3 linked regions of the Canis lupus familiaris genome follow. The main gene of each other region encodes a partner of the protein of the gene in region 2 in a complex. Links are inferred from orthologs where the notes say so. Each region holds a gene or a part of one and is shown on either strand. Other genes may lie near its edges.

Region 1 (7,069 bases), on a different chromosome or scaffold from region 2:
GTGGGACTCAATCCCAGGACCCCAGGAACACTCCCTGCGACGAAGGCAAGCACTCAACTACTGAGCCACCCAGGCGTCCCCAACTTCAATGTCCTTAAAATCCTTTCCTTTTCTATCCAAAAGAAGTGACTTCTGTTATTCCCTATGTTAAGGCTCTTGTTTAACGTCAGACGTGTGAGAAATTCATTAATTCAATAAATATTTACTGAATGCCTTAACTATGTGCCAGTCTCTTACTCTAAGGCACTTGGGATGCATTAGTGAACAGAAAAGATCACTACACACAGAGCTTACATTCTAGTCCGGGAAAACAGACAATGAAAACAAACACAATAATTAACTATATTTGAAAGTGATAAATAATATGGAAAAGAGCAAGGTAGAGCAAGGTACAGGGAATTAGAAACAACTTGGTGGGGTGGTCCTGAGGTACGTGTATGTGAAAACAGCAAAGAGTCTACTGTCTTTGGAGCTAAATGAACAAGGCAGAGAGCAGTAAGAGTGGAGGTCAGAGGGATAGGGAGCAGCCAGAGAATATGTTTCATAGGCCAACACTTCTCTTTGTATCCTAATTAATTTTCTAAATAAACTCATAAACAGTTTCAAGTTGCCTACACTCTTACACATCACTAAAATAAAAGAGAAGATCAGAATGAGGGCAGCCCAGGTGGCTCAGCAGTTTAGCGCCGCCTTCAACACAGGGCCTGATCCTGGAGACCGGGGATCAAGTCCTGCGTCAGGCTCCCTGCATGGGCCTGCTTCTCCTCTGCCTGTGTCTCTGCTTCTGTGTGTGTGTGTGTGTGTGTGTGTGTGTGTGTGTGTCTCATGGAGAAATAAAATCTTTAAAAAAAAAAAAAGATCAAAATGACACCCCAACTGTTCCCACCAACAGACTGATCTAATCCTGAGGTCATTTTCTTCATTTGATGGTGGTGGTCTCAACTACAACAGAATTTTTATAGATGTAAGGTCCATGGGGATGTCTCCAGAAGCAAACCAAGATCTCAGGGTTCATAAACCAGAAATGCCCTAAACCAAATCTTACATCCTGGGACTCAGAACTTCCCCAGTCTCTAGAAGGTACTTTGGAGGAAAGGTATTAGCAAGACAGCTTCCGACATTTTAACACTATGAACTCTCATAAGTAAAACAAATAATCTTCAAAGTTGGTTTGGAGGAAACCAGAGCACCATTAGTAATCCATGGTTCATATAGTTTATGGCTTTTCATATGCTACCATTATAATAAGCTCACCTATTGCAAACAGTCACAAAGCTTCTGCTGTCAGGCCTAAAGTAGGAAGCTACTTTACATTATAACAAAACTGTATTCTTATTAGTTGACCTAGTCCAAAATTTTACAAATTCGCTTCAATACTACATTTCCTAGCTTCCTCTTTCTAAAGCTGAAAGAGGAAAAAATAATTCCCTGAAAGAAATACAATTATGACTCTAAATATAAAAAGGGACAGTTACAAGAGTGACCTGCTCCGAGAAGATCTGAGCAACGTGAAGAAATCTGCAGATTTTTTTTTTTAAGATTTTATTTATTTATTCATGAGAGACACACAGACAGGCAGAGATGTAGGCAGAGGGAGAAGCAGGCTCCATGCAGGAAGCACGATGTGGGACTTGATCCTGGGACTCTGGGATCACGCCCCGAGCCAAAGGCAGATGCTCAACCACTGAGCCCAGGCATCCCAGAAATCTGCAGATGTTAAATATTCAGTAACATTTAATATCATAGGTAATTATAAAAGCAAAAGAATATTCAGAATCCTGCATAACTCTCTAATCTTCAATCTCTAGTTTCAAAGAGTCCAGGACTGAAAGTAAAATCACCTCTTATGCCCTTTACCTAATTACTCGTCAATGGAAAACAATTTTTTTTTAATATTAGAATCAAGAACACTTAGCGTTTATACCTTGTTGAGTTCTTCTATCCTTCTGATTAGGTACGGGTTACTGGAGGAATTCTCAAAGTAGACATAATCTGTAATTAAAGGAAGTAAAGACCTTAATCTTTTCAACAGAAAGTTCACATTTGTCAATCTATGACTTTCTATATTAGGCAATGCACATTCAAAATGAAGCACATAATTCATTCCCGGTTAAAAGCAAATTTAGCAATACAACCTTAATATATTTTCTCATGCCTACTATTCACAGACCCTTATTTTCCTGAAATTTTCATTTAACAATTAATGTTTTATCAAGCTCTCTGAGCCTTTCATGCCACACATCACTTCTTTAATAATAAACAAAAAGACTCCTCATCACCGAGTAGTCAGGGCTGACTAAACATGTGTCTTTCATGCTATAACTGCTTCCACATCTTTCCCCTCCAATCCAATTTACCCTGGAGTATGCTTCTCACATAAAACTATTGACCTAAGACAAATTCAGAGCATCTTGAAAAGCTTAGCAGCCCAAAGTACATTTCAATCACCAACTTAAAAAAAAAAAAAAATCAGGTGAGCAGAATAGGTAAGAGGAAGCACACTGACAAACTTCCACAGCTCTATCTGGGATGATTGGGGGGGGGGGGGGGGGCATGAAAGGGGATTCCCTTTCTGAGAGACAGAGCTCTCTGGAGATGGTTATCAGGATTTTGTTATGCTCTTTACCATATTTAATACAGATCCATTTGGGGTCTTGTTATAAAAAAAAAAATCACCGCAGGCTTTCAATAAAAAAGATAAAAATTTTCAAGTGTGGCTTTTCCTCTCCTGTAATAGGCTCACTGGAAACTTCCCACTGTGTGTTTATTTGAAAGGCTGGGCTGCATTGTTATTGTCTATCTTAGTGGCTCTTTCCGTCGTCTCTCTTCTGCAAAGTGGCCTCATTTGGCCAGGCCATTCCCACTACCATCCATCAGGAGCTCAGCTAATGAGCAGAGAAGACCAAGTCTCACACACAAACACGCCACTTATCTGAATTATTATTCTACCAAGAAAGAGGGAGGAGGGCGTCGTGAGTAGGGAGAAAGTTTGTTTGACCTTATTTCTCTTTTCTGCAGAGGGCTGAGAAGGCAGTCACCAGAGCAAACGTCCGGGCAGAGCTCAACTCCCCACCTCTGGCCGCGGTGCCCTGGCCCCACTACGCCCCATCTTGGGGGGGCTGGGCAAGAAACGGGAGGGGGGAGTGAGGAAGGAGAGGTGAAGGGCCCTATCCCCGCCAACAGGCCTGTCCAGCTGTGCCTGGCTGAGCCCCCATCGCCCCCACCCCCCGCTCCCAACTGAAGGGGTGAAGGAGTAGAGCGGGGGGGCGTCCCCCCATCCTCTCCAACCCCCCCACTGCCTGGAAGCCACGCAGGGAAAGAGCACCCCACTGGGGGCTCGACGGCCGACACCCAATGGGGGCGTCTCGGAGGGGGGCAGCTGAGAATTCACACCCCCAAGTACAGGCCCGGCCGGCCCTAGAAAACTGAGCGGGGGTGCGAGCGAGGGGGAAGGTGGGCGCCGGCCCCCGGCGGGCCACGGCCGGGGGAGGGGCGGGTGGCGCGGGTGGCGCGGGTGGGGAGCCCCGGCCCCTCCTGCGGGCCCCGGCGCCCCTGCCCCCCGCGCCCGCGGCCCCCGGCGGTTAGGGTGAACTCGCCCCGACCCCCCACTCCCGGAGCCCGCTCCCAGACGGGCCGGGTCGGGCCGAGCCTTCCTACCTCCGACCCGGTACATGTTGGCCGCCATGTCCGCCCGCCCGCCCGCGGAGCCCGAGCCGAGCCCCGCCCGCCGCGCCGCGCCGCCGCCGCCTCAGCCTCGGCCGCCTCAGCCTCGGCCGCCGCCGCCGCCGCCGCCGCCGCCGCCGCCTCGCCGCGGGGGGGAGGGGAGGGAGGCACCGAGGGGAGGGGAGGGGGAAGCGAAGGGGAGGGGACGCCGCGGGGTGGGGGCAGGTTCCCGCCCCCAGCGACGGGCCAGCCGGGCCGAGCGGGCCGGGCCGGGCCGGGCCGGGGGAGGTCGCTGCGGGGCCCGCGGGGACCTGGGGAGGCGGCGGCTTGGGGGCCCTCGCCGGAGGTGGGCGACCCCAGGGCAAGGGTCGTGGCCGAAGCGGAGGCCTGCAGTGGCAAATGCGGACCTGGAGCGGTGGGAGAATTGGGGTGGGGGCAGGGGCTCAGGCTCTCCCGAGCCCACACAGCCCCAGCCACCGTACCCTGTCACCTGGCCACCCGCAGACAGGTCTTCCTCCTTGCTGCGTCCCTGGGGAGCCCTTGTATGCAAGACCTTGAGCACGTGGGCGCCTGCCTCAGGGCAAACACTTGGAAACAAATAAGTGCGCCCAGCAGAGCGCCTGCCTCATGGTGGTGATGGAACCCGCATACCTTGGGGCCAGGAGGACCCTGGTGCTACCAGCTTCCCCAGGGAGCGTGCTAGCTGGAGAGAAGTCCAAAAACACTGACCCCCTCCCAAGTCACCCCAACTGCATTGACAGGTCTATCAAGTTCACCCCACGCGTGGGCTGAACAGAACCCACTCCCAGCGGAGGCCTGGCCTCTAGACAGACCCTATATCCAGTGCCGCCCTGCCAGGAAAAGAGGCCCTTAGGAAAGGGACCCTACTTATTCGCCATTCCCACCCCCTCTCCACAAAGGGGGAGATGGTTTCAGTCCCCTTACTGTTGATGGACTTTTAACTAGTTATGTGCCTAATGCTTTTGAATCATTATTTTCCCATGCCAATTCTCTAGGCAATCCCAGCATTCTCAGCCTCCATTCCCTCACAGAAACAAGCAAAAAAACAAATTGAATTGAATCTTAGCTGGCAATCCCCCAAATGAATGCAAACAACTTTTTAAAAAGCCAGCAGCACCTGACTCTTGATTTTGGCTCAGGTCATTATCTGGAGGCGGTGTCCAGGCACACACACACACCCCCCCCCATGCTCAGTGAGGAGTCTGCTTGGGATTCTCTCTCCCTGTCGCTCTGCCTCTCCTCCAAGTGCTCTCTCAAATAAACCTTGATAAAAATTTGTTTTAAATTGAAAAAATAAAAAGCCAATCCATTCCAAACTACTTCCAGACATCATTATATAATCAAGGGTAAGATGATCCCTCACTGTTGTGAGTTGTTTGTGGAGTTTCTGGTGATTTACAGCTACATGTTGGTGACCCTGGGTATGGGATCTGTGCAGGGATGGGCAGTGTCCCCAGAAAAGAAGATTGTGTTGTGTTTGAATGGTGATGGCATATGTGATGGTCCATGATCACAAATTATTAAAGTGAAAAAAATAATGCTCTATATAGCTGAGGCAAAGTAAAAAATAAAGCACATTTGCCTGAATTACCTTGATGATGTGTGTCACCCAAATTTATTCAGGTACAAAATGAGAACATTAATTCCATTTCACAGGTGGGGTAAGGATCAGTTGTGACAATATATGAAAATGCTTTATAAACTATTCAGCATAGAGCAGTATGCAAATAACAGGTGTCTGTTGTTTTTTATTAACTCCATAAAGTTTCAGATTCCCAAGGGTTTTTACACCATGTGTACAGTGTGAACCTGTGTCAGCTCTTCTGACCCAGAGAAAAAAGCAGAAGTGTTCTGTTATGCACACTGACTAGCTGTTACCATAATCCTTTTACTGGAGATCCCACAGAAAACGTATTATGACATATCTGACATCACTCTCTCCATTTCTGTGCTGACAAATAGATTGAATAATTCACCTGGAGTCTTCCAGCAGTATTGGGATTATAATTCTGCCCTTTCCTCTGGCCTAGAATTCTCTAAACCAGGAAGCCTTTCTCCAGTGAACAGGCCTCTGGAAACCATAAATTACAAAGGAATGCATCACAAGTTTTAAAGTGTTTGCCCAGGGATCCCTGGGTGGCATAGCGGTTTAGCACCTGCCTTTGGCCCAGGGTGCAATCCTGGAGACCCGGGATCGAGTCCCACGTTGGGCTCCCGGTGCATGGAGCCTGCTTCTCCCTCTGCCTATGTCTCTGCCTCTCTCTCTCTCACTGTGTGCCTATCATAAATAAATAAAGTGCCCATTACTTTTAAGTAAATGAGCAAGGAATCCCCAACATCTCTTCTTTAGTGATGAGGATGGCTGGCATAGAGAGAAGGGACCTAATATGTAGGAAGCTCTTGACATGTGATGAACACTTTATATATTTAAATTTTTAGCACAAGCCTTTGCTATAGGTGTCAGTCCGTAATCATATTTTGAAGAATTTGAGGCTCAGAGGGGTTAAGTGTCTTGCTCAAGGTTTTAAAGCTAAATAGCCAAAGTAGGAGTGAAGTTTAGGTCTGGTTGATGGCATGGTTGTGAGCTGAACCATGCAGCCTATGGAGGTGGAGGTGCCTTTGCTATCTTTGAAGATTAAGACTTTTCCACCCTTTGTCTGGTCCAAGGGTTTCTTTTAATCTCCAAACACTTGCTAACCTCCCATATGGCAGTACTTTTTTTTTTTTTTTTTTTTAAGATTTTATTTATTGGGATGCCTGGCTGGCTCAGTGGTTAAGCATCTACCTTCGGCTCAGGGCATGATCCCGGGGTCCTGAGATCGAGTCCAACATCGGGCTCCCTATAGGGGCCTGCTTCTCCCTCTGCCTGTGTCTCTGCCTCTCTCTCTCTCTCTCTCATGATACATAAATCTTTAAAAATAAAAATAAAGAAGACATGTCTCTTAGACCATGCCAGAAATCCCAGGGCACATCCAGCCTCCTGTGGGTAAAATTTCCTGGCACGGCTATTGTGATTAAAGAATCAGGATAAGAGATTTCCTAAAGGCCCAAGACATTCCTTGTGTCAGTTTCTAGCATCCTACCACTTAGCTGAAGAGAAATGGATGTTCAGGAAAACGTTAGATGAGACAGAGTTGGTTTTTGTCATAATCTGAGGATGGAGTTTTCGAACAGGCTCTGCGGAGCTGACTGAAGGGTCTGGAAGCTTTGTGATATCAGGAAAGGAACTTTTGTGAGGGATGGGGTTATAGAATGTAACTAATCTGAGAGTAGATGCCAGGCTTTGAATAAAGGACTATATTTTATTGTGTTTTCTATGATTCATCTCTCTCTTTTTTTTCTTATCTTTCGCAAACTTATTTAGTAACATTCTTTTGGAAAGAGG
Region 2 (7,168 bases):
TAACACACATTCACACCAACTCCCTCCTCCCTCCTCTCTCTCCTTCTTCCTAAGCCACCCCCGCCCAGGGAGGCGGGAGTGGAGAAGGGAGTGGAGAGAAGGAGGGAGTGCCTCACCCACTGAGGAGAGGGAAAATGGCTCCTGACCGCAAAAGCCAGCCCAGGGCACCCAGCTGCCAACATAGGACAGGAAGTAGCAGGGGAGAGGGGGTTGGGTTGAGAGAGGTAGCCGAGGAAAGACTACCCTCACAAGACTTCCCAAATTGCTACCTGGCCCCAGGTCCACATACCACTTCTCCTAACACCTATTTTGGGATGACACAGTTCTCAACAAGCCACTTTAATGTCCTAGGCAAGGAAACCCAAGACAAACATGAAGGGTAATACCACAAGAAAGACTGGGTTACTGCCTCAATCATAATTATTTTTCCAATCATCAGAACTAAGATTTAACAAAAACTCAGTGGAGCTGTGGTCACAGCATACAACTTTCTTGAATTTTTGATACCCAAAAAATTTAGCTTGAGGAATGGGAGGCCAGAAGTCTCCACAACTCAGTTCCCTTCTCACCACCTACCTCCCCAAGAGTCCAAGCCATAGACCCTAAACTACCTCTCACAGATTAGAAGTAGCCACCTATCCAGCATATGTGATGTTCACACGAAGAAAAGAAGAGCAGCACCTGGACAGTGCGGGACAATATGCTTCCTTCTATTCGCCCCTGACTCCCAGAACTAGCCCTAAAATGCTTCTGGCTCCGCCCTTCCTGAGCAAGGCAGATACTAGGGAATATGAGACATTAAGCTTGACAAAGCACCATCAGCCTCCCCCCACTCAGCCCAGGATCAGGCCAGGCATATGAAAGCCCCTCCCATTCCCTTGGGAATGGAACACCAGCTTGGATCTCACCAGAAAGAACCATTTTCTTAAGGCTTTTTCAAAGCAATCCCCCATGTCATCCCCCTCACTAATAAGTCACATCTCTCAGTTCCTCATCTTCCTCACCTCCGTGAAAGCTGGACACCAGGACAAACCCGTGCAGGTGAAGGGAACACCCATCCACATAAGACCCCCAAACTTCTCAAGCAGATAATGCACAGAGACAACATTCAAAGTGGCTGAGACATAAAAGAAGATTTGGGAAAGGGGCAGGAATGGGGTGTGGCAAGTGGAAAAACTGGGTCATGCTACAGCTTGGGGCAGAGTTCACCCTGGGAGCCTGCACTGCTCCCAATCAACACAGGGGCAGCCCCAGCCCAAGGGGCCAATGGGAAGCCAAAATGTGGAACCAACATTGGCTGGACAGCACTACTACTTCTCTCGCCCCTCACAGAGAGAGTCAGATCATGTTACCAATGCTGCTACCCCACCCCCACCTTGGGCAACAGTACAGAAATTTGCCACCTTGGTCTACACAGTGATGAGACTCGAGCCTAAGTTTCTCATCCCAACAGCTGAAGACTCAGCAACAAGACTGACCCCTTTACTAAGTGGCCTCAGTTTCAAACTAAGACTTGAAGACTTCCAACTTAGAAAACACCAAAATGTAGGAACATCTTTCCCAGACCTCAACTTACTGCTACAGCTAAGGAGAGAGAAGGCAGAAGTGAAAGATGTTTGATGGGAAACAAAAACACGACCAGCAGGCTCCAGAATTAAAGCGAAAATAAAGATAAGCAGAAGGATAAAGAAATGACATTTAAAAAAAAAAAAAGAAGCTTGAAAAAAAGGTCAAGGAAACAAGTAGGTGACTTAGCTACGGGCTGTGAAAAAGGAAAGACAGACAAGAGAGAGACATCCACTCAGATGCATGACATCAATCACCATTTGAGAAGAGACAAGAGCTTCTCCAATCAGGCAGGATGATTACAACCATACGGGTTTGGCCAGTCCCAGGAGCCACCCACAAACACAGAACAACCCCCAACACACCTACACAAACACTTCATGACACCAGCCCAAACCCTAGGCTCCCTGCACCAAAGCAGAAGCCTCTAGGAAAAAAGTCTGTATCATGTCCATTTGCTATGGGAAGGGGGGGGGGGGTTGCCCAGGGTGTCACCTCCCTTCTTTTGCCCCTCCCTAGTATATCCTTCAGGGTGTGACATCCTACCCCAAGCCCCCATCATTTCCCCATTTGAAACATTCCAGCAATCTGCCTGCTAAAAGCTCTCTACATCCCAGCTGAGGAGCGCAATTCAAACTTCACAGTTGAGACATCACAGAAAACCGGTAACTGATCAGAAGCTAAAAATAATCAGATAGAGAGTAACCAGCACTCCCTCTCTCCTTTCCACAGCAGCAACCACAGGATCCTGCTAACACAGATGCCGGGCTGGTCTTCAACATGCAATCCTCGACACCCACCCGAACCCCCACCCCGCCTCCAACGGGTCCCAGCCACCTGCATTCCTCCGTGGACCCACACAAGGTAAGGTCTCCAGACCAGAGGGCTCCCTCAACTGGGAACTGCATAGCATTCCTTAAAACAGACAGTGCAGCAAGCTTGCATCTCGGTCCCAGAGCCCAGGAGGCACATGGCTTCCACCCCCTCCCACAAGAGCTCCGCAGAAGGGAACCACTCCCTTCGGATGCCCTCCACCTCAGACTCTGCACGGAGAGAGAGAAACTCAACCTTGCCTCACCAGAGTCGCTAGGGAGGGCCCAAATGCCTCCTTCCTGCCCAGGGCCCTTGGGGAAGATTTACCTGGGTGGGGTGGGGGCAGGCTGTTGTTCAAAAGTGCATCCATATCTTCCTCCTCGCTGCCCGCGGAGCAGGGGGACGGGGAGCCCAGGCCCGACGCCATCCCCTTCCGCTCCCGGCCAGGGAATTGGCCCAGCTGCTCCTGCCTGCGGCCTGGGGCCCTCTACACTGGCCCGAGTCACTGTGCGGGGGAGGGGGGGAAGAAAGAGAGAACAGTCAGTGACGCGCACTGTCCCCCTCCCCCACACCCACCCGCTCTTTCCGCCCACCACCAAAGCGGCCCCCCCAACCCCAGCCACCCTAGCAGGGCACCCGAACCACTCAGGCTGAACTTAGTTCCACACTCCTCGAGGGCAGCCCGGAAGCCGGCTCCCCAACTGGAGCCCCCCAGATGAGCGGGAGCGACGCCCCCGAGGGCAGGCTGGTGCAGGCGTGGGGAGGGGGAGAAACCAGGCTGGACCGAGCAGGGTATGTCGGGGGAGGGGGGTCCGAGTGGCCGCGGCGCGGGGGGGTCGGGGGAGGCGGCAGGCAGCGAGGCGCTCGGGGACACAAGGTCACTTGGGGGTGGGGGGGCGCCTCCCTGCGCCTGGGGAGGGGCCAGTCCCCAGACAGGGCAGCTCTCCAAAGGCTGTCCTCTGGGACAACTCAGGTTCTCCGGAGGAGCCACGGGGCCGAGGGGGCGTGGAGGCTCGGGCGCTCCAGGGGGCTGGAGGCTGGGACGCGGGGGGCGAGGGAGCGCCCACCGGGCAGGGGGCCGGGCCACGTGTCCCGGGGGGCAAGTGAGCAAAGGGCGAGGGGGCGGGCGCCGGGCATTGTGGGAGACCCAGCCCGAGGTGGGAGCCGCGGGGGGCAGGACTCGGGCCGGCTCAGGGCGGGGGCGGGGGGGGCAGGGCGCCCTGCAGGCAAGGAAAAGGAAGGGTCGGCTCCTCTGGGCAGGGGGCGGTCCGCGAGTCCGGGACATCTGAGGAAGGGGTGGATGGAGGGATGAGCTTGGGGGCTGGTCAGGCTCAGAGGGGCGTCTCTTTAGGAACCCCGCGCTCTCCTCACCCCGGAGCCGCCGCAGGTCGCGCTGGGTCCGGCCCGGTGTCACTCCCGCTCCGGCTCCTCCTCGCCGCGGCCGAAGGGGGGAAAATGGCTCCGGCTCCGGCGTCGCCTCTTAAAGGGCCCGAAACACCGGCCGGGAAATCCCACCGCACAGGCCCCGCCCCCCCACGGACAGCCCATAATAACCTCAACCAACTCCAACCCCCCCTCCACTACCGCCACCCTCCTCCTTAGGTCTCCCGGGCAACCCCCGCCCCCTCGTCGCTCCGGCAACCATTGGCCACGCCCCCTTCGAGCGCGCGCGCGCGTGTCACCCGGGCAACCACCCACCTCCGGCCATCCCATAATACACACGGACACCCCACCACCACCACCCCACACACACATACACTCCATACACCTATATGCTAAGGTTGTTGACATATCATAATATTGCAGACCTTTGCAACTAACCCTTTCCCCACCTCAGACATCCCATAATAGCCATCCTTTGCCAACTTCTTCACTCTTGGCCCTAATGCTAACATCCCATAATAATTCGTCACCTCTCCTTCCCCATGGCCATCCCATAATAAGCACCCCTCCCAGCACTTAAGCCTCACAGCCCATAATACTCATTCCCCATCCCCCACAGACATCCCATAATAACCACTCTTCATCCACCCCCAGTTTGATATCCCATAATAGTCAGAAACAACGCCCCCCCCCCCCCAGTACTACAACGGACACTTCGGCCTCCTCCCACACACATCCCGTAATAATCAGTTTCCCACTTTTACACTGACATCCCATAATAACCAACCCCCTAGCCTGAGCTGCCCTCAGCCCCTGCAGACTAGGGTCTAGATCCTCACACCACCACCCTCAGCCTTCATACATGCGTTCTAACTCCACAGCCCATAGTAACCTCTTCTCTGTCAAAGAGATATCCTCTAATGATCGGCAGCCCCACTGTCACCCTACAGATGGACATCCAATCTCCTTTCCTCTAACGCTGGAAAGATATCCCATAATTTTACTCTCCCACCCACACCTTGATATCCCATAATAATGTCAAGGAGCCCGAGGTCCACCAGACATACTCTAATACTCCCAGCACATCCCATAATGCTTCATCGCCAGCCACCACCCCTATACCTTTCCAGCCAGGCATCCCATAATATTCACATTCATACCTCCCCCACCTCCTCAGGCCATCAGGTCTATTCTAACACCCAGAGCCACAAGGTTGTGAAGCAGGCTGCTACCCGCACTGCCCTGTGCCCACCCCAACTTGTACATACCTTTATCCCTTTCTGGGCCAAAGCAGTATCCTGGCATAAAACCTCTTGATGTCTAGGGCAAGCCCTACCTTCCCTCAGACCATTTCTAGACTCTCAGGAACTGCCAGTCAACCTAGGGCCCCACCCAATCCCACCCAAATCCAGTTATTCTCCAGATGCTTACCTCCAGCTCCAGCTCTTAAATATTGAGTAAGACCAGCCAAATACCAGGCTGACCAGATGAACCATTTACATAAAGTTTAATTCACCCCACAGCTTCCCCTAGTCATAATAAACTCCAATCTTTAGAAAGGAGTCTTTAGCCTACTTCTCAACATTTCAGCAGTCCTTCTCCCACCTCATCCTACCTCTCCAGGTCAGATGGTGCAACACACCTGGGCCACTCCCATGGATGGACATCCCACCATGATGTGACATGAGGATATATATATATAATATATCATGTTCATTTAACAGATGTTGCCAGCATACCTAGTAAGGCACCAAGGTGGGCACCACAGGGAATGCAAGAACCACAGGTGCCTCCCTTCATCAAACAATGAGACAAGATAGAATGTCTGGTGTCAAGGGAACACTGCTCAGTGCTATTTCCCAATTTCCTGTTACAGAGAATAAAATAAATCCCAACTGGTCTCAGGAGAGATCAGATCCCAACAGAGGTTCTTGATAGTCCTTCTATAGGCTAGAAGGTATTCCAAAAGGATGATATAGATGGGTGGCCAAGATATCTCCTCTCTGTTCCCTACCACACTAAGGGATTTTGATTGGAAAGCAATGTCCATCTATCCAGCGTTTCTGAAATCCTATAATATCCTATCATGTGCCTCCTTCTTGAGAGACTCTTAACACACCAGAATTGTTACCCTCATTCTTGAACACCAAATTATGCTGACCCTAAATGTCCTGGACATTTTTTTTTAAGATTTTATTTATTTATTTATTTATTTTAATTTATTTATGATAGGCACACAGTGAGAGAGAGAGAGGCAGAGACACAGGCAGAGGGAGAAGCAGGCTCCATGCAGGGAGCCCGATGTGGGACTTGATCCCGGGTCTCCAGGATCATGCCCTGCGCTGAAGGCAGATGCTCAACCGCTGAGCCACCCAGGCATCCCTGTCCTGGACATTTTTAACCTGGATTGTTTGTATCCTGAAGTCTCATACTTCCAACTGCCCCCATTCTTATCTTGTTGAGGCCCCATGCTCCATCCAAAAAAACCTTTTGATGTATAATATTCACCATCTTCCCTCCTGTGTACAAGTCAACATTCCAGGATGCTTCTTTCATTCAATTATGCTGCAAGGAAGTCTTCCAACATGTACCCTCCACTTCCCAGACTGGGCCTATTTTGCAGTACCTTGGGGACCCAGCCCTAGAAAGTCCAAGAGCTCAATCTTAAGACCTGTTAGCCCTCAGAGAGCCTGCACCCATAAATCTGTCACTTTTCCCTCTTTCCTGATCCCCAGAGAGCCAGGACCCAGATGAGAACCAATGTCCCGGCACCACTGCCTTGCTGCCCCTGACCCCTGAGGCAGAGATAATGCCTTTCTTTGTTGTCATGTGCCTTTTTCATACAAATCCAAGACCTATGGCAGTGGGACAGGTGGTAGAGAAACTGGGATGTTCTTCTAGGAGGAGCCTTCCTAATCAGAAGTGAATAGGATAGACCTCACGCCATCACTGCATTGCTCTTCTAATCTCACTTTCCTAGAGAAGGGACCTGGCCAGAGGACTCTGCCCTTGCCTAGGAACCCAGGGCTGGAGATGTAGCAAGGAGAAATAAACTCAGGAGGTAAGAACTTGCTCCAAGAAAGTTACTATCCCGGGACGCCTGGGTGGCTCAGTGTTTGGGCACCTGCCTTTGGCTCAGGTTGAGATCCCGAGATGGTGTCCCTGCATTGGGCTCCCTGCAGGGAGCCTACATCTCCCTCTGCCTAGGTCTCTGCCTCTTTCTCAGTCTGTGTCTCTCATGAATAAATAAATAAATCTTAAAAAGAAAGAAAGTTACTATCCCTTTGCTTCCAAGCAGAGCACCGGTGATGTGGATACTTCTTTTCACCAACTCCTGCCTGACTTAACTGCCTAGACCACCCTTTTGCCACGTCCATGGGTGTACAGGCTGTTTCCCCCATTCTGT
Region 3 (7,168 bases), on a different chromosome or scaffold from region 2:
GAGAGGCCCCATTTGTCCCCACTTCCCTCTGCTCCCCGGCGGACCGTCCCCCGCCGTGTTCTTGGCCCGCCCGCCGACGTCCCGTCTCACCTCTAGTTTAGGGCGGGCGCCCCTCACCCGGTCCGGGTGGGGGCGGGAGGGCCGTGGGTCGGAGCCCGGAGGGCCCCCAGCCCCAGCCTCGGGTTCCAGCAGCCGCCGGACCCTCTGGAGGTGCAGCGCGGGCCCATGGCCCCGACCTTCCTCCGGGTCCGCCCGCCGGCGCCCCTGCCGTCCCTCCCCCCGCCCGCCGCGTCACTGCGGCCGCCCCGCCCCTTTCCTGGGCCCGGCTGGCCCTCCCCACTCCTGCGGGGTCCCGCAGCCCCGCCCGTGGCGGCGGAGGGCGGCCCTTGCCTTCCTTCCCCCAGGCAGCGGGGGAAGAGGCAGTTCTCCAAGTGCTGGCGCTTTTTACTCCCGCTATGCTCTTTGGGATCTCCTAAGCTCTAATGGCTCGTGTCTCCACCCTGGCCCAGCCCTCCTGTGTGCCATGGAAATATGGCAGGACCCCATCCCCATTCTCCCCAGCCCTCCAACCTGGAACCCGGGATAGGGGAAATGTCTCAGTCCCCAAAGTTAGCCGAGAAGCTGGTCCTAGACTTGCCTCTTCTAAGGGGCTGGGGTTCCAGTGCCCTAGGCCTCTGGGGTCATTCAGGTACACACCCAGGCAGACCGCTACTGTGGTCACCGGAAATCCTTGGTCTAGCCCCTGAATGGGGCCCCATGGCTTTTCCCACAGATGCCTTCCGGGTCCACAAGTCTGGCCAACCAGACCCTGGGCAAAGGCTGAGACACCTGAGGGCTGGGCTCACGGGACCACACCCAGCTGGCTAGGAGGTGCTGGGACAGTGGATGGCAGCACCAAGCTGGATCTCGCTCCTGTTGGAAGACCATCCTCTCCCCTTGGCTCTGCTTCTCAGGTGCTGGAGAAAAGCAGCAGCAGTGCCCCCTCTCCTCTGAGAAGTCAGGACGTGTTCAGAACCTTCCAGGGTTGACTGGGAGGTTAAGATTTTAGAAAATTAAGACACGTGAGGGCCTGGCTTATATGAACTGACATTTCCACCCTGCCAGGCACTGACTGCCAATCCAGAGAAAGAACCCTCTAGGCCCGGGCTGGCGACAGTGCCCTCCAGCTGTGGAGGCGGCTAAAGCTCCAGGCTGCCCCCTGGTGGCACCACGTGTAGGAGGGTAGGGCTCACAGCTACTGGAGCTTAAGCCTTTTCAAGACTCAGAACTGTGAAGGCCCAGGGCTGGAGGAGGGCAGGGTCCCAGCCAAGTCAATGGACAGTAGGAGCCAGGCCAGGCCAGGTTCAGTGGCCCTGTCTCCCACCACTGCATTGCCCCTCTCCCCTCCTCGATCTCCTCTTTTCCAATTTCTTCCTGGCTCAGCAGAAGCACCACACTCAGAAAGATTAAGAGGTGAGAGAACAACTCCAAATTATCTTTTATTTATACAAAAAGGGCATATTTAGCAAAAGACACTGACTGAAAAAAGAGTCGCTATGGCCCAGGAGACAAGGCAGGGAGGTGACAGGCCTAGGGAGGCCTTGCTAGGGGAGGAGTCTAGGAAAGGTGGTGACAAGTCCTGGGTAAGTGCTGAGTGGTGGGGGCCACAGAAAGGAGCAAGCTCCAGTTGGATCAACACTGTTGGCAGGTCATGGGCGGGACTCACAGTGACCTCGCTGCTAACTCTTGAAAGAGTCCCAGTCAAGTGTTGTCGGCTGGAGTGAGAGCCGCCCCCTGGTTCCTGGAGGGCACCCACCAGGGGACACAGGACAGGAAGCCCAGGTTGGGAAGTGCAACTCGGGGTGAAGGCCAGGGAGAAGCAGGTGCTCTGCAGTGGCCAGGAAAGGTCCAGACTCGGCGGTGGAATTGCGTCCTGTTACGTGCGGGCGTTCCGCTCTGTCTCTGCCAGGCACTCTCTGACTAGGGCCCGGGCATGGATGATGCCTGAGGTGGGAATGGGCAAGTAACATGCAGCGACCCTGCAGGGTCCCACCCTCATCCTCCAGAGGAAGACCCTCCTTCCCCACCCCCTTTCCTTCCAGTGAAAGGGAGGAGGATGATAAAGGGCCTGATGAGATTAACGATTTGGCTAATCCTCAAATTTGTCCTTTTGAAAGACAAATGCCCTGGTCCTTCCCCCCAAACGGACTCAATTTCAATTCAATTCAAAACACCTCCCTGGAAAGTGACACCCACCCTTGTTTAGGCTTGGGTCACGCGGCCTCCAGATGTCCTTCCTTTGCTAAGGAAGGATTGTCCAGTGTTAGTCTCCTGAGCAGGGAGGGTGGAAGCCTCACTTACCTCTCTTCAGGCGCTCCATGGCGCTCTTGCTGCCAGCATAGGTGGGCCGGATCTCTTTACCCATCTCCTCTATGACCGACAGCAGGTCCGTGTAGGTGCTCTGGGAGCCCTGGGCGCCAGGTGGCTTCATTGCCTATGTCAAAAGAGGACAGGGCCATGAGCTCAGGGCCCGCGGGGACCTCCAGTCCCCGTCCGTAGGCAATCCCTCACCCCACTCACCTGTACATAGCCCATGGAGGGCGGTCCAAAGTCGTTAAACAGGGGCCTGAAAGGGGCAGCGGCTCCCGGCACTGAGCCCGACGGCGATGGGACACTTCCGGCTGCAACATGCGCGAGTAATAGGTCAGCGCGGGGCCGGGACCCGGCCTCCCAGCGTTCCAAGCCCCCGACCGGATTCGCCCGCTTCCCTCCAAAGGGATACTTCGCTCCAGGCGCTCAACTTCAGCGACAAACCCCTCCCCCTGCGCTCCACCAACTAGCCCTTACGTGACCACGCCCACTTCACAGGCCAGCAAACTGAGGCTCAGAGAGGGGAGGCAGCAGGCCCAGTGTTGCAGAACTCGGGCCGTGTTCTCGAGACCTCGACCACCCGGGCAGGCGAGCAGGGGTAGAGTCGGATCCTCACCTGTGGGGACCGGGGTGCCGGGCCCAGGGGTGCTGGAGCCGGGGGTGCTGCTGGGGGCGGGGGCGATGGGTTTGTAGGACATCCCCAACTCTCGGGTGCGGCGGACGCCGGCCGGCCGCTCCTCCGGGGTTGGCTGCTCGGCCGCTCAGCCGCGCTCTGATTGGTAAACCGGCCGCACGCCCCTGGTAAATAGAGCTCAGGCCGGAAGGGCGGGCGGGCACGAACGCTCTCTCACTCCCGATTGGTGTGCGCGGATGTCACTCGGGCCTCCTCATTGGCAGAGATCGGCCCCAACAGGCCGCAACCGCTGCTGATTGGTCTCCGCCTTTCGGACCTCGCACCTGTCTGCTCCGGATTGGGCGGTAGCTGACGCCCTACGCAATTGGCGAGTTCGGGGTCCGGGCCGGCGCGCTCTCAATCCGATTAGTCCCAAGGCCCGAGAGGCGGGGCCTTGGAAGCCGGGACCCGGGTCCGGTCGGCCGCGTTTTGCGCGGAGGGGTCTTCCCGGCGCGGGCGCCGCCTTCACGCTTCACTGGCGCTGCTCTGCACGTCAGCTCCGCACCGCCTGCTCTCGGTCCAGTTGGGGCTGCTATCACTGCCGGCGCCAGCACCGCGCGCGCCTTTCCACTGCACTGAATGCCGGAGGACGCAGGGCTTTGACGTGCGGAGCCCTGCGTCTCACCCCGTGCGCTTTTACGTCACCTTTCGCCGGCTCCACACCCTTTCCCCGGCCTGCGCATGCGCCCTCCTAAAGCTTCCGTTTGTTCCTATGGCAACGGGTCCCTCATCGACGCTGCCTCCGCGCCTCTCGGGTTTGCCTCGTCCTTTGGTCTAAGCTCGTGTTAGGTCCGAGGGCGGCCTCAAAGACCCCTCAGCCAGTCCTCCAAGACTCCGAGCCTGGGCCTCCTACTGGCAACAGCAGGATCATCTCGCCTTCGTTGAATTCTCGCCGCTCGCCGGGCCCTGTACCAAACCGATCTTGGGTGAGAGCACCAAGTGGAGCGAGGCTGATGGTTCGAATCTCACCCCACCGCACCAGCGATTTCCCCTTGGGCAAGTTACCCTAGTATGTTTGGGTTTCCCCATCGTAAAGATGCGGACGTTAGTAATAACTGTCTTACAGGGTTGTGTGGATAAATGAATATTCATAAGGAGCTTGTTTCATTGTCCTCTTTTCTTTCCATTTCTGCATCCAGACCCCTCCCCTCAAATTTCATTCCTCACCACCCTAGATCTTAGACTTTCCTCCGAACACTAACCCTTTCTCTTGGGCTACTTCGCCTCAAAACTATTCTGGCCTTGTGTATTCTTCATGCCCCAGGTCTGTAGATTTTCCTCCTCTCCGTGACATTTCATTCATTCGTCCATTCATCCAACAGGCATTTTCTGACTCCATCCTCCATCCTTGTGCGGGACACTGATGATATGGAAATGAACTGGCCGTGGCTTCTCTCCTCAAGGAGCTCCTGGTCTCAAGGAGAGACAGACAGGAAAGCAAAGGCACACAGCACAATAAGACAATGTGGAGACTGGTATACAGGATGCATTGGAACTAAGAGGAAGGAGCCTGCTTGGTGACATCACAGGAGTCTTTGCAGAGGAGGCAGCTTTCAATTGGCGAATGAACAAACTGTGATATATCCGTATAAGGGACTATTTATTCAGCAATAAAAGGAAATCATCTATCTAGCTCTGAAAAGACACAGGTAGGCATATTTCTAAGCGAAAGAAGCCAGTCTGAAAAAGCTATGCGCTGTATGGTTCCAATTGTATGACATTCTGGAAAAGACAAACTCATACATGAGGTAAACAGATTACTGGGTGCCGGGGGTGGTGAGGGGTAGAGTTAAATGAGTGACATCGGGGATTTTTTTTTTTTTTTTTTTTTTTTTTTAAGGCAGTGAAGTTATTTTGTATGGTAGGATTGAGACAGCCTCACTAAAGGGGTGGGGGAGTAAGGTGCTAATCTGGAAATGGGCGGAGTCTGTAAGTGAATGTAAAGGAGCTGCGGGTAAGCATCAACTTTAGTTGATGAAGCGGTTTTCTGTGGCAGTATGGGTTAACAATTGTGAAGCCACAGCACATGTACACTAGAATTGACAGTTAAGTCAGGATGGATGATTTCTTATTGTTGGAATAAGTAGTGACAGGTAAGCATGTGGAGGAGGCTAACACGATCAAGGTTGGAACTGGAGATATCAGTATGAACTCATGTTTAGCTCAATGTAGATACAGTTGGTTACATAGAGAAATTATATAAAGACTGCATATACACAGATTAGTGTACATGGGTATCTCCTCTGTCTGCTGAGAGGGCCTAGAAGCAACTTAGCACCCAGATCTTGGTTTCTAATAGCATTCTCCAATAAAATGAACCAGAGTTCCTTGGAGAAATGGCTAATTCTAAGACTGGGGTAGGAAATATACAAGATGATCTTGGAAGAAAAAAAACAAAACAAAAAAAGCCAAAAACCTCACAAAACCCCAAACCCACCACACCCCAAAATCCCAAACCCCAAATGCTAACATGATGGGTATATACCAAAGGGATACAGGAGCCAGCTGAAAGGGCTGCCAGTGGCCAAAGCTGGAGCAATTTGAACAAAATTTTAAAAAGAATAGGATTATAACTTGCATAAAATAAATATCTATAAGCCTATACTGATATATATATATGTATATTTATGTATATCATTTATACATATAAATGGTTGAGTAAATAAAGGTGGAGATATTATATATTGATATGTAATGTCTAGGATGTAATTATATGTATGTAAGTAGATGTAATTATATAACATATATCATATATAACTTATATGGTATATCATATATATATATAAATGGTTGAGTAAACAAATAAAGGAAGAGAAGAGACAAATCTATGTAGAAGAATTCCAAGTAGTTTATGTAGATATGCCTTTAATCAGGTGGATTTTAACCCCCACCCCTTAAGTGTGGGGGTACATAGTGACTTTCTTCCAGAGAGTGTAGTACATAATGGGAGAAAGAAAAAAGAGTAATTTTCTAGTATAGAAATTTTTTAAAAAGATTTTATTTATTTATTCATGAGAGAGAGAGAGAGAGAGAGAGGCAGAGACACAGGCAGAGGGAGAAGCAGGCTCCACACAGGGAGCCCCACGTGGGACTCAATCCTGGGTCTTCAGGATCACGCCCTCGGCTGAAGGCACTAAACCGCTGAGCCACCCAGGCTGCCCACTAGTATAGAAATTTAGACAAACATTACCTCCAGCCAGGTGATCAAGGTCAACATCCATAGTGATGTCATGTTAATAGTATGCACCCTTGATAATAATGGATGAGAAAGGCACTTTACCTCTGTGGTCTTCCTCCTGCAAACCCATAACCCTAGATTAATCATGAGAGAAACATCAGACAAATCCCGATTTAGGGACTTTTTATAAAATATCTGACCAGTCCTTAAAACTGCCATGATCCTAAGAAAGCAAGAGCAGTTTGAGAAACTGTCAAAACTGAGAGGAGTCTGAGGAGACATGATGCCTAATGTATTGTGGTATCCTGGATGGCATTCTGGAACAGCAGGATAATCAGGGAAAAAATTATGGAATCTGCATATGGAATTGCATAAAATATCGACTTTAGTTAATAACTGTATCAGTGTTAGTTCATTAATTGTGGCACATGTACCAATTCTAATGTGAGATATTAACAGACTGTGATGGTTACTTTTAAGGGTCAACTTGCCTGGGTCACAAGGCCCAGATATTTGGTCAAATATGATTTTGGGTGTGTCTGTGAGGGTGTCTCTGGATGCGGTTAACATCCATTGAATTGGTAGATGGAGTAAAGCAGATGGCCCTTCCCCTGGTGAGTGGCCCTTATCCAATCAGTTGAAGACCCAAATGGAACAGAAAGGCTGAGTAAGAGGGAACCTGGCCTACCTGACGGTTGAGCTAGGACATCAGTCCTCCACCCTCAGACTAGAACTGACACCATCAATTTTCCTGGTTCTCAGGCCTTTGGGCTTGGACTGGAACTGAACCACCAGTTCTCCTGTGTCTCCACCTTGCTGATTGCAAATCATGGAACTACTCAGCACCTGAAATCACCTGAGCCAATTTCCTTACAATAAATGTCTTTACACACACATCCACACACCCACATACACACATACACAGAGGCATCTATTGGTTCTGTTTCTCTGGAGAACCGTGGCCAACA

Evidence for each region. Proteins that work in one complex are often made in the same cells at the same time.
Region 1: CHD4 (region 2) and MTA3 share a complex: the UniProt entries of both Homo sapiens proteins name them as parts of the nucleosome remodeling and deacetylase (NuRD) repressor complex. The link is inferred for Canis lupus familiaris from reciprocal best matches to the Homo sapiens genes CHD4 and MTA3.
Region 3: CHD4 (region 2) and CDK2AP2 share a complex: the UniProt entries of both Homo sapiens proteins name them as parts of the nucleosome remodeling and deacetylase (NuRD) repressor complex. The link is inferred for Canis lupus familiaris from reciprocal best matches to the Homo sapiens genes CHD4 and CDK2AP2.

The regions. Positions count from the first base shown.
Region 1 is NC_049238.1:34,299,552-34,306,620, reverse strand, and holds the start of MTA3 (metastasis-associated protein MTA3), read right to left. Parts: upstream 3,746-7,069; 5' UTR 3,686-3,745; coding exon 3,658-3,685; intron 1,993-3,657; coding exon 1,925-1,992; intron 1-1,924. UniProt on the Homo sapiens protein: Acts as a component of the histone deacetylase NuRD complex which participates in the remodeling of chromatin.
Region 2 is NC_049248.1:7,680,439-7,687,606, forward strand, and holds the start of CHD4 (chromodomain-helicase-DNA-binding protein 4), read right to left. Parts: upstream 3,909-7,168; 5' UTR 3,751-3,908; intron 3,172-3,750; exon of another isoform or gene 3,001-3,171; intron 2,885-3,000; 5' UTR 2,807-2,884; coding exon 2,707-2,806; intron 2,431-2,706; exon of another isoform or gene 2,299-2,430; intron 2,005-2,298; exon of another isoform or gene 1,921-2,004; intron 1-1,920. UniProt on the Homo sapiens protein: ATP-dependent chromatin-remodeling factor that binds and distorts nucleosomal DNA. Acts as a component of the histone deacetylase NuRD complex which participates in the remodeling of chromatin.
Region 3 is NC_049239.1:50,470,563-50,477,730, reverse strand, and holds CDK2AP2 (cyclin-dependent kinase 2-associated protein 2), read right to left. Parts: upstream 3,644-7,168; 5' UTR 3,048-3,643; coding exon 2,966-3,047; intron 2,661-2,965; coding exon 2,560-2,660; intron 2,474-2,559; coding exon 2,341-2,473; intron 1,984-2,340; coding exon 1,916-1,983; 3' UTR 1,446-1,915; downstream 1-1,445. UniProt on the Homo sapiens protein: Acts as a component of the histone deacetylase NuRD complex which participates in the remodeling of chromatin.